Stegostoma tigrinum: one gene and its partner. Each later gene encodes a partner of the first gene's protein in a complex. Links are inferred from orthologs where the notes say so. Each region holds a gene or a part of one and is shown on either strand. Other genes may lie near its edges.

What was found. The genes of interacting proteins can lie anywhere in the genome.
Region 2: polr1e (region 1) and polr1f share a complex: the UniProt entries of both Homo sapiens proteins name them as parts of the RNA polymerase I (Pol I) complex. The link is inferred for Stegostoma tigrinum from reciprocal best matches to the Homo sapiens genes POLR1E and POLR1F.

The regions. Positions count from the first base shown.
Region 1 is NC_081356.1:12,667,779-12,675,309, reverse strand, and holds the start of polr1e (DNA-directed RNA polymerase I subunit RPA49), read right to left. Parts: upstream 3,065-7,531; 5' UTR 2,990-3,064; coding exon 2,920-2,989; intron 897-2,919; coding exon 793-896; intron 624-792; coding exon 547-623; intron 1-546. UniProt on the Homo sapiens protein: Component of RNA polymerase I (Pol I), a DNA-dependent RNA polymerase which synthesizes ribosomal RNA precursors using the four ribonucleoside triphosphates as substrates.
Region 2 is NC_081355.1:73,093,637-73,100,646, forward strand, and holds the start of polr1f (DNA-directed RNA polymerase I subunit RPA43), read right to left. Parts: upstream 3,010-7,010; 5' UTR 2,995-3,009; coding exon 2,783-2,994; intron 1-2,782. UniProt on the Homo sapiens protein: Component of RNA polymerase I (Pol I), a DNA-dependent RNA polymerase which synthesizes ribosomal RNA precursors using the four ribonucleoside triphosphates as substrates.

The sequences.
Region 1 (7,531 bases):
CACTGTGTCCCTTCCTCTCTCATGTTACCAAGGATATTCCATAAATACTATGTAATGCCTCTACTCAACAATAGAACATACCTTCTCTTTCATTTCAAAGGTTAGCACCAATCAAACTGTGTACCACCAATGCGGCTGGGTGGATTCCAATACTGCACAGAATGGAAAAAATATGATTTGTAGGTTCTTTGTCCAAAATGTGGCTGTATCTGGGAAAAGATTACTCTTTGTGTTTTATGGCATGGGAAATGCCATTTGTCTAAGCTACCTTATCCAAAAATGATATTTATCAATTCCTCACTGCTGTTCACATTTAACATAGATATTATGCTTGCTTTACACTGTAGTTGGTCAAATTGAAAGGAAGGCAATTTTGTTCTAGCTAATCTCAGGATTCAACACGTGAATAGGTACAAAAAGTGAAGAGAGCGTCTGATTGTCGCCACAACCTCTCCTATTTCTTCCCACATGTTGACAATCCTGTTGCATGTTTTCAGCACTTTTTAAAAATCGAATTCTGCCAATGATTCAAAGAAACAAACTTACTTGCACAACGAATTACACTTCAGAGCACTTGGTCCGAAATTATTTCCAACGTAAGTCAATCTATCCGTCTCAGCAGACTACAGTGGATGAAAAAGGAATCATTTTAAATGAAGTTAAACAATTTCAATGAGCTAGCAATGTTATTAAAGTAGCTTAAAGAAATCATATAATAACTTTAATCATGCCAGTTTTACTATGGAGCAAACTGTTGTAAATGTTTTACTGCGGAAGAACACCTGTCCTTACCAAGATCAGTTGATGCTTTTTCCGGGGATGATTTCTGTGTATATTTTTATGCAGCTGAAATTCCACATTTTCTGAATTTGTGAGTTTCCCATTGGAAAACTGAACTGCAAAACAGGACAGTGTTGTCATAAATTTCATTAGTGGCCCACGGGATATCTTTGTTCAGCAACCACATCAAACTAGCAGGGTTAATGATAAGAGTACAAAAGCTAACAAAGTGTGGAGCTGGACGAACACAGCAGGCCGAGCAGCATCTTAGGAGCACAAAATGATAATCTGGCAGTTTTGATGGTTATTTTATCTGGAATTTGCCTGTAACCGTTACCTATCAAATCTGCTACCACAACTAAACTTTCACTCTTCTGCCTCAATCCCTGTGCAGCTGAGCCAGTCATGAATGGCATGAACTTGGCTCCTGCCATACTCCTCTGAGAAGTGATTGCTCTCAATACCACCCAAAATAGAAAAAGTTAGTTAGTGAGAGAGGGTGGGGGATTTATACAGGGACTGGCAGTCACACTGTTCTGCTGGCATGCTATAAACGTTTGGTGTAGCCACCTCCTTAAGCATGCTATCAATGTAACCTTCAGCTTTGAGGATACAACACAGCAAGTCCACCTGTGCCATAATCAGTAAGGAAATCAAGGATTATGGAGAACAGTCAGAGAAGTGGAGTTGAGAATTATTAGATTAGCCATTGTCTTGCTGAATGGTCTACTTGCACGCCCAGATTTAATCATAAAATCCATACAGGGTGGAAGGCGGCCATTGGCTCATCAAGTCCACACCAACTCTCTGCACAGCTTTCCACCCAGAACCACCATATGCCCACATTCCTTGTGACTAGTCACCTGGTCTGCACATTCCTGGATTCTAAGACAATTTAGCACTGCCAATCCACCTAACCTGCACACCTTTGGACTGTGAAAGGAAACCCGAGCACCGGGAGGAAACCCACACAGACTGGTGCCCGAAACTGGATTCAAAGCCAAGTCCCTGGAGCTGTGAGGCATCAGTGCTAACCACTGAGCCACTGTGCCGTCCTGGTGAATTATCTCATCCACAGGACATCACTGCAAGAATTCCTCAAGATAGCATTTTAGGCCTAACCCATTTTCAGCTGCTTCAATGAGCTCCTTTCCATCAAAGCATCAGGAATGGGATGTTCACTGATAATTACATAATGCGGAATGACCCACATTATTAACAACCTGGCACTTACCAGTGGGCAGAAGTTGAGCTGAACTAGCTATTTAATACTGTGGATGCAAGATCAGATTAGAAGCTAGAAATTCTGCAGCAATAAGCTTACTTTCTGACTCCTTAAAGACTGTCCACCGTCTACAAAGCCTAAGTCAGGAATGCCACAGCATACTTCCCACTTACCTGGGTGACTACAGCTCTGGCACCACCAACAGCAAAGCAGTTTGCCCAGTATCCAACCTTTAAAGCTCTCCCCAGCAGCAATATTCAGCCACAGAAGTGTGCACCATCTCCAAGATGCACTACAGCAGCTCACCTAGGACCTTTAAACCGCACCTTCCAAACCAGTGACCTCGGCCACCAAGAATGACAAGGGCAGCCAGTACATGGGAATATCACTGCCGGCAAGTTCCACTTCATTTCACACAGACCCCTGACTGAGACCTATAGTGATAATCCCATCGCTGTTACTGGGTCAAAAATCCCGAGCAGGACTGTGGGTGCACCTACACACCCCAGGAGTCGCAGCAGTTCTGCCACTTTATTGAAGGCAATTAGGGGTGGGTAATAAATGTTGGTACAACTAAAAGATGCCAGATATTTATGCCAAAGATGCAAGAACGAAAGTATAAATAAATGAAAGAGTATCTGTAACGCTGTGACTTTTTTTTCAGATTTCCAGCACTCACAGTATCAGATTTTCAACTACTGCCCTTATATGAGCCAAGCTTCGCTTTTCCACGTCTGCACGACAGTAATTATACCGTAAAAAGTACACGGTGGGCAAAAGTGGTCTGAAAAGTCTAAGTGCTTATGAAAGATGCTACACAAATGCAAGTTTTGTTTCCCCGGCTGTGCCTTTGGATCTACATTCCCAGCCATTCCGCGCTGCCTGACTAATCCAAATATTCCCAGAGTCGCTACCGAGTGTCGCCGACTGCTCCGGATCCAATTCCGTTAAATTCCTGTACTTCCACACACCGAAAGCTGCCATCAGTACAAACACCAACCGGACGAACACTCCGCAAACGCCGACACCAGGCCGCACACTAACTTCTACCGGGCCCACGCCGCCCGGCGCCAGCGACACCGCCACCTACCGGGCCCACGCCGCCCGGCGCCAGCGACACCGCCACCGACCAGGCCCACGCCGCCCGGCGCCAGCGACACCGCCACCTACCGAGCCCACGCCGCCCGGCGCCAGCGACACCGCCACCTACCGAGCCCACGCCGCCCGGCGCCAGCGACACCGTCGTCCAGTATTAACATCATCAACAGTCCCACAGAACAGCGCTATCCAGAGGCCAAAGCTACATACATCATAGCTTAGGCGCAAATTACTGCAGATGGTGGAGTCTGAACTGAAAACTTTGTCTTTGCTTTACCTTTAGTTGTTGTACTCTCTGTCACCGTGTCCTCTCTCCATTCCCTCCTGTCCAGTAGGACTGTCTCTGTTCTTTCCAGTCTGGCAATTGGACACACCACTGTTCGGCCATTCTCACATTCTGATCATTTAATCTGCACTATCAACATCCTTTCTCCACCAGCCCTCTTATCTCCTCCACACTTCACATCACCTCTGATGAAGGTTCGTCTAGACTTGATATGTAAGCTTGCTTGATCTCCCCAGGTGCTGCCTGATCCGCTGTGGTTTTCAGCATTCTTAGTTTTCAATACATCGCAGTTTGATGATTTGGATCACGAAAACTACATTTATATAGCACCTTTAATGTACAAATTCTTACAGTGCTCTGAAATAAGTCAGTTCTGTAGCTGACTCATTTTTTTAACAACTTAGAGAAAGCCCTTTGTCCCTTGAGTCTGTTCCAACACTATAAGCCTCTAACTACTCTAATCCAAACTTCGAGCACTTGGCCCGTAGCCTTTCTGCCATGGCATTTCAAGTGTTCGTTGAAGTAGTTCTTAAATGTCATGAGGGTTCCTGCTTTACCACCCTTTTAAGCAGGGAGTTCCAGATATCCACCACTTCTGTGTACAAAATCTTTCCTCAGATCTTCCCTAAAACCTGATTCTTACATTTAAAAATGTGTCCCTGGTTATTGACCCTTTTACCAAGGAGAAAAGTTCCTTCCTATCTTCCCTATCGTATTGCCTTCATAGCAGGTCAGCGAGCATCCGAGGAGCAGGAAAGTCATCATTCATCATTCATCATTTTGGATCAGAACTCTCCTTTAGGATTCTGAGTCCTGCACCTCGGATGCTCTCTGACCTGCTGTGCTTTTCCAGGTCCATATTTTTTGACTCTAGCATCCAGCACCTGCAGCCCTTTCTGTCTCCATATTGCATTTATAACTCAGTACACATCAACCATGTCCCCCGCTTCAGACTTCTCTGCTCTAGTCTCTGTTAATAGCTGACTCACTACAAGCCAGGCAAACTCAACTCTCATGCAATCACTTCGTTTAGTGTGGCAACCCAGAACTGCACACAGTGCTTACGGTATGGCCTAATTCTGTTTCCTGGCTGTCATGATATTGTTAACCAGTCTCTCAACTCTTTCCGTCTTATTCTTACATGATTAGTGTTGTGGGATTTCTTACATGTATCTGATAGAGCATGTTGTGCCTCAACTTAGCATTTACTTCAAAAAACAGCCCCTACTAAGCACAGCATTTGAGTATCAACCAAGGCTTGTGATCAACTCTCAGGAGTGAGAACTCATCCTTCAGCCCTCTGACTGAGAGATGATTATGCTACCATTACTTTGTAAGCCAAGATTCAGGTCAGATTTCTGTTTCCAAGAGGAAACTGCTCACTTTCCAAATTGGATAATTCTGGTCGTGCTGCTCAGAAATATCAGAGGAGAGTAAAAACACAAGGAAATCCCGAGGTAATAATGTAACCAAATCTCAGTGACCTGCGAGGTCCTGTGCTACATGCAGGGGGGTGGGGTGCAGCTCAGATTTACACACACAACAGAACCCCACTAAACACCTGTTATAATACCCAATGAAGCCAGCAAATGCATGTTGCAATCTGGTTGGAGACCAGTAAGGTTTTCCTTGTTTAAGTTAAACAAAGTTTTGAGATTCCAGGTACCCTTCAACAAATTAAAGTCACAAGATTCCACCAGACAATAATAACTACATTTCAAATGTACTTCAATTGTCTGTAAAGTAATTGGTGACTATGAAAAGCACTATTTGAATGCAAATCATTTTTAAAATCAACACTGTAAGATTTTCAGTTCATTTGGGCTAATATATTCCTGATGAAAAAAGAAGGACAGGCAACACATAGGCTATAAAAATTCTCAACTTTGCAATTTCTCCTTTCACATTTTACTTGTAACTTGAATGAAGCATTTTCATAATATACAATGTTTTCTGATGCAAGTGAAGTCTGAGATGAAAAGTCTCCAATATCTTGCACCTTAATAAGTAAGTGATGAAATTAAGTTTCCAATTGTTCACTTTTCAGTTGCATTTTCAAAGGTTTTCACCAGAATGATACTAGGCAGAAGTGAGCCCAAGACTATCCTTTAAAATTTTATTCGGGACAATTATGAAGGCACGAAAATGGAGCTGGCTAAAGTAAAATGGTAAATTAGGTTTAAGGATGGGTCAATTAAGACCATAAGACCATAAGTCGTAGGAGTGGAAGTAAGGCCATTTGGCCCATCGAGTCCACTCCGCCATTTAATCATAGCTGATGGGCATTTCAACTCCACTTCCCTGCACTCTCCCCGTAGCCCTTAATTCCTTGTGAGAGCAAGAATTTATCAATCTCTACCTTGAAGACATTTAACATCCCGGCCTCCACTGCACTCTGTGGCAATGAATTCCACAAGCCCACCACTCTCTGACCACAGAAATGTCTCCTCATTTCTGTTTTAAATTTACCCTGTCTAATCCTAAGGCTGTGCCCACGGGTCCTAGTCTCCCCGCCTAACAGAAACAACCTCCCAACGTCCACCCTTCCTAAGCCAGACATTATCTTGTAAGTTTCTATTAGATCTCCCCTCAACCTTCTAAACTCTAATGAATACAATCCCAGGATCCTCAGCGGTTCATTGCACATTAAGCCTACCATTCCGGGGATCATCCGTGTGAATCTCCGCTGGACATGCTCCAGGGCTAGTATGTGCTTCCTGTGGTGTGGGGCCCAAAATTGAACACAGTATTCTAAATGGGGCCTAACTAGGGCTTTATAAAGCCTTAGAAGCACATCACTGCTTTTATATTCCAACCCTCTTGAGATAAACGACAACATGACATTCACTTTCTTACTCACGGACTCTACCTGCAACTTAACCTTTAGAGAATCCTGGGCCAACACTCCCAGATTCCTTTGTACTTCTGCTTCATGAATTTTCTCACCATTTAGAAAATAATCCATGCCTGTATTCTTTTTCCAAAGTGCAAAACCTCACATTTACTCACATTGAATTTCATCAGCCATTTCCTGGACCACTCTCCTAAACTGTCTATATCTTTTTGCAGCTTCCCCACCTTCTCAGTACTACCTGCCTGTCCACCTATCTTTGTATCATCGGCAAACTTCGCCAGAATGCCCCCCGTCCCTTCATCCAGAAGGACATGAAGCATGTTGTTGAGCTAAACTGTTAAATTTTCCTAGCCTTCCATAAAATTATGAACAAAAATTCTCAAACATTGTGGTCCTAGCTGCCGACATGCATCTCCAAGGGATGTATACTAGCTCAATACTGAATTTGGCAGGAAAAATTTGGGCCTAGCTTTCAAACCAGAAAAATTAGGCCAGCAGGGCATAATTAAAAATTCGTTAAAACTGATATCAAAAAGATCTTAAGTATTTATTCAGAGAGTGATAAAGCTTGGAATGATCTGCCAGACTTGCAACCACAAATACACAAGCATGTCTTTTTTTAATGTGTTCAAGAAATAAAAAAACAAATTCAAGAGAGACTAAAATTTGTTATCCTTTTGACACACTTTTAAAAAACAGTTTAAACAATTGTGATGCTGATGGCAAGATCAGACCTGTTGATCAAAAACAATTCTACAACTGTCAGACTTGTGCGTGAATTGCATAATTGAGATAGCTCCAGTTCCACAGACCACGCATGAACATAGATCTTAGAGTATGATCACTCTGGGGACAGAGTAACATAAAATGGAGCTCTCCTATAATTTACCAACGCTGCACTGATTCGTAGCAGGAGGTCTCAAGTTCTATCTTCCAGCTGAGTAAGTTAGCAGAACATAGGAGAGCCATAACTAGCCACAACATCCTGAAATGACAGCAAGTGAAAAAATACTGATCCCTTCTGGACGAACACTGGATGAGGCCAAGAAACAGACACCTCCTGTCTGCCGAAGGTGTAGCACATGCCTATTTACCTCCTCCTTCCCCAGTATCCAAGGGCCCAAGTAAACCTTCATACAATCTAGTCTACTGCATTTGCTGCTCACAAAGTGGTTTCCTCTACACTGGGGAAATTAAGTGTAGACTGGGTGTCTGCTCCGCAGAATATCTACGCTCCGCCCACAAAAAAGACCATTGGCTTCCAGTTGCCTGCCACTTTAACACACCT
Region 2 (7,010 bases), on another chromosome or scaffold:
GCAGTCCATAAAACTACTTTCAATCATAATGTGATGGAAGCTGATATTGACTGTGCTATCATTGTACACAGTCAACAATAATCTACTCAATTTGGGTTCCACCGAGATCATTAGGCTCTTCAGCTCAATTCAGCGTTGATCCAAACATGGATAAACAGTAAGATGGTAAAGGAAACAATATCCTTCTTATCAAGTTACTGTTTGACGACACATGGCATCAAGTAGCCCAAGTAAAATTTCATCAATAGGAATTGGAGAAAACTGTCCATTTGTTGGAAGTCTAGTACAAAAGGAAGGAAATCGTAGATGCTGAAAGCCAACTCAACAGAGCAGTAGACCAAGTTCTTTAGCTGTTTTACGAATAACCTTTCCTTAATGTTATGATTAGAAGAGAGGACAATCTCTGATGATTACTCAAAGTTCAGTTTTATTTGCTATTCCTCAGCTAATGAGTTTATACTCACATGCAGTTAAACCTGGACTCCACAGGTTCAAGCTGATAAGCAACAAGTGCCAAAGTCTCCAACGAGACAGTGTCCAACCACCTCCTTTTAACATTCAATAACTAAAGAACTGACCATCTACTTCAAAAAGAAAGGAGAACACACCTTCATCTACATCAATGGAACTGAGGTGGAGAGTGAAGAGCATCAAGTTCCTTGGAGTGACAATAACCTGTCCTGGACTTAACATGTAAATGCCACAGTCAAGGCGGCACAACAATGCCTCTTTTTCTTCAGACAGTTCAGGAAATTTAGCATGTCCTTAGATACCCTCACTAAATTCTACAGATGCACCATAGAAAGCATCCTGTCCAGGTGCATAACGGCCTGGTATGGCAACTGCTCTGCCCAGGACTGTAAAAAACTACAAAAGGTTGTATGTATGGCCCAGACCATCACAGAAGCCAATCTTCCGTCCATGGACTTTAATTACACAGCTCACAGCTGCAGAAGGGTGACCAATATTATCAAAGACCCATCGCACCCTGGTAATGATCCCCTACAACCTCTTCTGTCAGGCAGAAGATACAGAAACCTGAATACACGCACAAGCAGCTTCTGTCCTGCTATTATCAGACTGTTGAATGGACTCTAGCCTCAAATAATGATGCTTGCAATGTAACCTGTATGCCTCTAAGTTGTTTTGATCTGTACATCCTTTGCTTACGAGCGTGACGGGCAGGTCATGGTAAGCAAAGCCTTTCATTATATTTCTGTACATATGACAATAAAAATCAGTGTTACTACAACAAATGGAATAATTGACACAAACACAAAGATGACCATCAAAACTTCCATCTGCACCATTAGACGTGGTGACAGATTTTTAAGCTTGAGTGCATCTGCACACGCACGGGTAACATTCGTAGGTTCTATTTGCATTAACATCTATGGTTACTCTTGCAGTGATGGTCCTACTAAAGCTGAATGTTTACACAGCTAGGGAAGCCTGGGACAGAGAGCCCAGGCAGAGCGACACTGGCTGTTGAGCAGTTCAGTGTCTCAAAGAGGGCAAGTGAGAGGGTGAACAGTTTTTCAACAACAGCATCTTCCCTTCTGCCAGACAAAGACTCGGCATTTTTCCAGCTAATGATTATCCGATGCAAGCTGCCAACTTAACTTGCAAGTTCTGCTCTCCCTTTAAGGTCAACATGCAACTGACTTAGAATCCCAGAATTATATATTTAAGCAAGTTAGCTAGTTCAAATTTCAGCCACATGACAAGGACAGACACTTCTTTTGTCCACAGCTGGCTTGACAAAATCAGCTCGTGACCAGCAACTGTGCGTCAGTTTTAGGTGGAAATACGATACAACGTAGGTATTTCAGAAACTTATTGAAAGTCATTTGATCAGCCTCAGCTATTTTATAAGTGCGGCAACATTATCCATTTTTAAAAGGAAACAGAATTTAACAAAATTATAGAAGAGAATACTTTGGAATTTAAGTTCATTGCCCTTGGCATTGACAAAAATGCTACTTAAATGGAAAGAAAGAGCAGAATGCTGCAACACAAAGGGTCTATCAGGTGTCCATGCACATAAATCAACTTACATATAGGTGAACAGGTAACTGAGCAAATATAATTTCTGCAAGGAGAACTGGAGGAGGGAGTGGCAAAAATAGGGGTAGAGATGGGGTTCGGTTTAAGAGAAGGTTGCCAGAAGGGGAGAGTTGAGATTGGGGTGAGCAAAAACTGGGCTACGGCTTTGGGAAGTTCAGTTGGGATGGGTGAGAGAAGAGGGGTAAGGAAGCGAAGTAAGGCGAACCAGTTCTGACATTGAGTTGGTAGAGTGATAGAGAATCTGGATCATCTGACCGGGTCCTTTGCTGGCTTCGGAGTGCTGATCCATGGAGTTCTGGTCTACAGAGGTCAAGCCGGATTTCAAATGTGTTTGTAAGAGTAATAGGAATACAGAATTGATTCTGTATTTTAAATCCATGGGCTAATGAGTTTGGAGTTTAAACCTTTGTTTTTAAGTGAGTTCCCTCCTCCACCCTCTGAAACTGATGCCCTCTCATTCAGCCTCTCCGGTCTTCCCCCGTCTTCTGTAATCTTTCCAAATCCCCAGTGCTCCCTCTCTCTTCTCCTCCACCTCTTGCCCCTCTCCTACATCCTCCTCACCCAACTCGTCTCACCCCGCACCCACCCTCACATCAGACGCGTGAAAAGGGAAAGTTTAAGAGTGATAACGGGCCAAACGCAGGGAGGTTTAGTTGAGGGAAAGCGGGTCGGCACGGCCGGGCTGGGCCGAAGGGCCTGTTTCCGCGCCCCTCACCTCTCGGAGAAACGGAGTAGCTCTGTCCGGAGCTGCTTCTCGATGCCGGATCTCTGCCGCTTAAGGAAGACTGGAGACAGGGTGATGTGCCTTCGGAAGGTGTCCAGCACCAGGCACGAGTACGGGCTCTTGATGAGGGAGCAGGCCTGGCTGAAAGAGAGCTGCTGTCCTCCCCCTGAGACCACACGGCCCTCCGGCCCAGAACTCGCCATGCTGCTGCTGCCGCCGTAAAGCGGCGCCGAGCTGTCGTAAAGTGGTTCACCGGCCACCAGGTGGTGCTGGTTTCCAGTCAGAACTGGTACGGGAAGTAGGAGAGGAATGAGCTGTAGGTGGTCAAGTTTATGCAACTGTGGTTATCACATTTACTGTCAGAATTCTCAATAGATTTAAAAATCATCCATGTCGAGAGTTAAAATCGTACTCTCTGTCCACCTGGAATGATTCCACTGCTGAAGGAGGCCATTCAGTGTGTTTTTTTTGTTACTTAGCGAGCCATCTGTAGTTCACCAGGTGCTGCTAACCCTCTACTTTTCCTTTTAACAAAATGAAGATAAAATTCCCTTTGATTCTGTCTCCACCACAGTCTCAGCCAGTGTATTCTAGACCCTAATAACTGAATTAAAACATTTCCCCTGAATGCTTCCTTTACCAGTTATCGAAAGTTTGTGTTCTGTAGTCTATAATGCTCCCATTAATGTTCACTCTCTACCTATTCTGTTCAAACACCTCATGATTTTCAACAATTCTGTTAAATCACACTTCAATCTCCTCCAAAAGGTACAATTCCACTTTGTCTAATCTACTGATGTTACTGATGTTTCTCATCTCTGCAGGCAATTTTGTGAATAGTTCTCTACTGGCAAGAATGAATTGTCCTGGAAACAGCCCTGAGAAAAGTATTCTTCTGTTCATTCCTTCATACTTCAGTCCTTACTTTGAGACGAGGCGATGGTCTCGAGATATTGCCACTGGACCAGTAAGCCAAAGACCCTGGTAATGTTCTGAGTTTGAATTCCACCACAGCAAATGGTGGAATTCCAATTTGATAAAAATCTGGAATTAAAAGCCTAATGATGACCCAGAAACCAATGTCAGTTGTTGAGAAAACCCATCTCGTTCACTAGTGTCCTATAGGAACGGAACTATTGTTCTCGCCTGGCCTGGCTCCAGACCAACAATAATGTGCTTGACTCTTAACCATCATCTGAAATGGCCTAGCAAGCCATTCAGATGTATCAATTACAAGAAAGTAATAAAACAGTGAAACAGGTCACACCCACTTGGCATTGACCAAGGAAAGGACAATAGCAAACACAACCCTGTCAACTCTATAAGCTAACTCTGACTTACTAACATCTGGGCTTTCAAGCCAAAATTAAGAGAGCTGTTTTATAGATTCATTAAGCAACTACTTGACATAATCATACACACAGAATGATACTTCACAGACAATGATCCACTGGCAGGACAGATCTAGTGGATATGACAATACAGTAGTATACAGTTAGGAGGGACATGCCGTGCGAGTCTTCAACGTTGATTCTGTTTGTCATGAGGTGCCACGGCATCAGGTCAAACATGTATAAAAACATTCTCCTGCTCTTTACAGCATACCATCATCCCCTCAGCACCCGGAGCAAGCAATAAGGGTGGTAGCAAGGCCTCATTTAATCAAGTGTGACATCTAGGAATTCTAGCAAAACTAGCATCAATGGGAATCAAGAAGAAAACTCTGCTAGTTGGAGTCAGTCCTAGCCAAAGGAAGTAGGTTGTGATTGATGGAGATCAATCATCTCAACTCCAGGATATCCATGCGGGAGTTCTACAGGGTAGCATTCTAAGCCCACTATCAGTAAGAAGAGCAAGTCAGAGGGAAGAAATTTTTCTGTAATTCCCAAAGTACCCCAAAGCCTGTCCAGCATGCACAAACCACAAGTCAGGACTCTGATGAAATACTCCCTACTTGCTTAGTGCAGCTCTCACATACTCAAGATACTTAACACTATTCAGGACTAAGCAGGCTGCTTAACTGGTCCCACATCCATCAAAACCCACTTCCTCCACTACTGATGCACAGCAGCCTCATTGGGTGCTATCTATGAGCAGCGTTGCAGAAATTCACCAAAGCTGCTTAGACAGCACCCTCCAAACCTACGATCACTTCCACTCAGAAAGTAAAAGGCAGCAGATATATGGGGACACTGCAAGTTTCCCTACAAGCCACTCACCATCATAACATGGAAATGTATCACTATTCCTTCAGCGTCACTGAGTCAAAATCCTGCAATTCCCTCCTTAAGGGCATTGTGCGTGTAACTACACTAACTTGAGGGCAGCTCACTATTATCTTCTGAAGAGCAACTAGGGAGGGGCAATAAATGCCAGTCCAGCCGGTGTCACCCATGCCCAATAAGTGAATAAAGAAAACTAGGAGATCAGATAGATGAATATATTTCAAAAAGTTGCTTTGAGGAACATGACAAGTTTTTTAGAAGTCGTATTTTATTTTCTTACTTGTTAACCTCATGGGTCGGTCATCATTGTTATATATTGATCTATTGCCTAGGCAGAGAAAACCTTTAAAACATATTTGGAGCAAAGGTATATCTCAAAAAGACTAGTTTCTCAGGTCATGATTACAGGAAGTTATTGATCCTTGGTCAGGCAAAAGTAAATTAATACACAAAATGACAAGTCATTTCTCTGAATTCTCTCTTAGGGAGATTCTTTAGCATATCTGGCACTCAAAATACATCTCACATCATCACATATGAAAATTCCCTTTTGGTCTTGATAGATCTGTGAAAGAGAGTACTAAAACTCCGAACCCAAACACCAAAAAGGCAGTCTGTCAAGGATATGCTGAGAAAATGTTGGAGCAGCCAGGATCCTAAAGGGAAGCAAAGATGGGATTATTCCAAGACCACAAAGAAACAAAACAGGCAGACTTATTCTTATTAAGTTAAATAAGAGGACACAATCCTCTTACGGGGTTAATGGCAGGATTCTTGGTAGTGTGGATGAACAGAGGGATCTTAGGGTTCACGTCCGTAGATCCGTCAAAGTTGCCACCCAAGTTGATAGGGTTGTAAAGAATGTGTATGGTGTGTTAGCTTTCATTGGCTGGGGAATTGAGTTTAAGAGCCGCGGGGCTATGCTGCAGCTCTATAAAACCCTGGTTAGACCACACTTGGAATATTCCATTCAGTTCTGGTCGCCTCATTATAGGAAGAATGAGAAAGCTTTAGAGAGGGTGCAGGGGAGATTTACCAGGATGCTGCTTGGACGTGAGAGCAGGTCTTATAAGGAAAGATTGAAGGAAGTAGGGCATTTTTCATTGGAGCGAAGAAGGATGAGAGGTGACTTGACAGAGGTGTACAAGATGATGAGAGGCATAGATAGTGTGGATAGCCGGAGACTTTTTCCCAAGGTGGAAATTACTATTAGGAGGGGCATAATTTTACAGTGATTGGAGGAAGGTGTCGTGGAGATGTCAGAGGTAGTTTCTTCACACAGAGAGTGGTGGGTGAGTGGAATGTGCTGCCAACGGTGGTAGTGCAGTCAGATACCTTAGGATCATTCAAGCGACTCTTGGATAGGCACAAGGATGATAGTTAAATGAAGGTTATGCAGGTTAGTTTTGATCTTACAGTAGGATAACAGGTTGGCGCAACATCGTAGGCCCAAGGGCCTGTACTGTGCTGTATTGTTCTACATTCTATGTTCTAATCGATTCCAAGTGACCTGTGTTCTTCATTGTTGTCACATTTGTGACCATAAGTTTTGCCTGATAAATTAAGTGACTCTGAACAGATTTGTTTATTGTACATTTTATCTTTCTTTGGAATAAATCAGTCAATAATTTGAATGAAAATTTACCTCCTTGACAATTAATGGGTCAATCATCAGAGAGATTGAATATGTCCATATGCTTCAAATACAGAACTTACACCGTTGCAAGTATAATATAGGGCAGTGGGAACCAAGTGCTGTGAAAGTTGGGTGCCCAGGTCAATAACAAGAGTAATCGACATCATTGAATCAGAGGATAGCTTTAGCGGAACAACATTCACAACAGTCCCTCCTAATATTTAATTTGCAAACAAAGGTAAATAAACACATTTATGTCTGTGACATTTACAATGTAGCACATCCTAACTCCTTAGTGATCTCGAACAAATTTGTTCTGGGAACCATTACCTGAGCCTTAACAGATTTAATTAGGTAC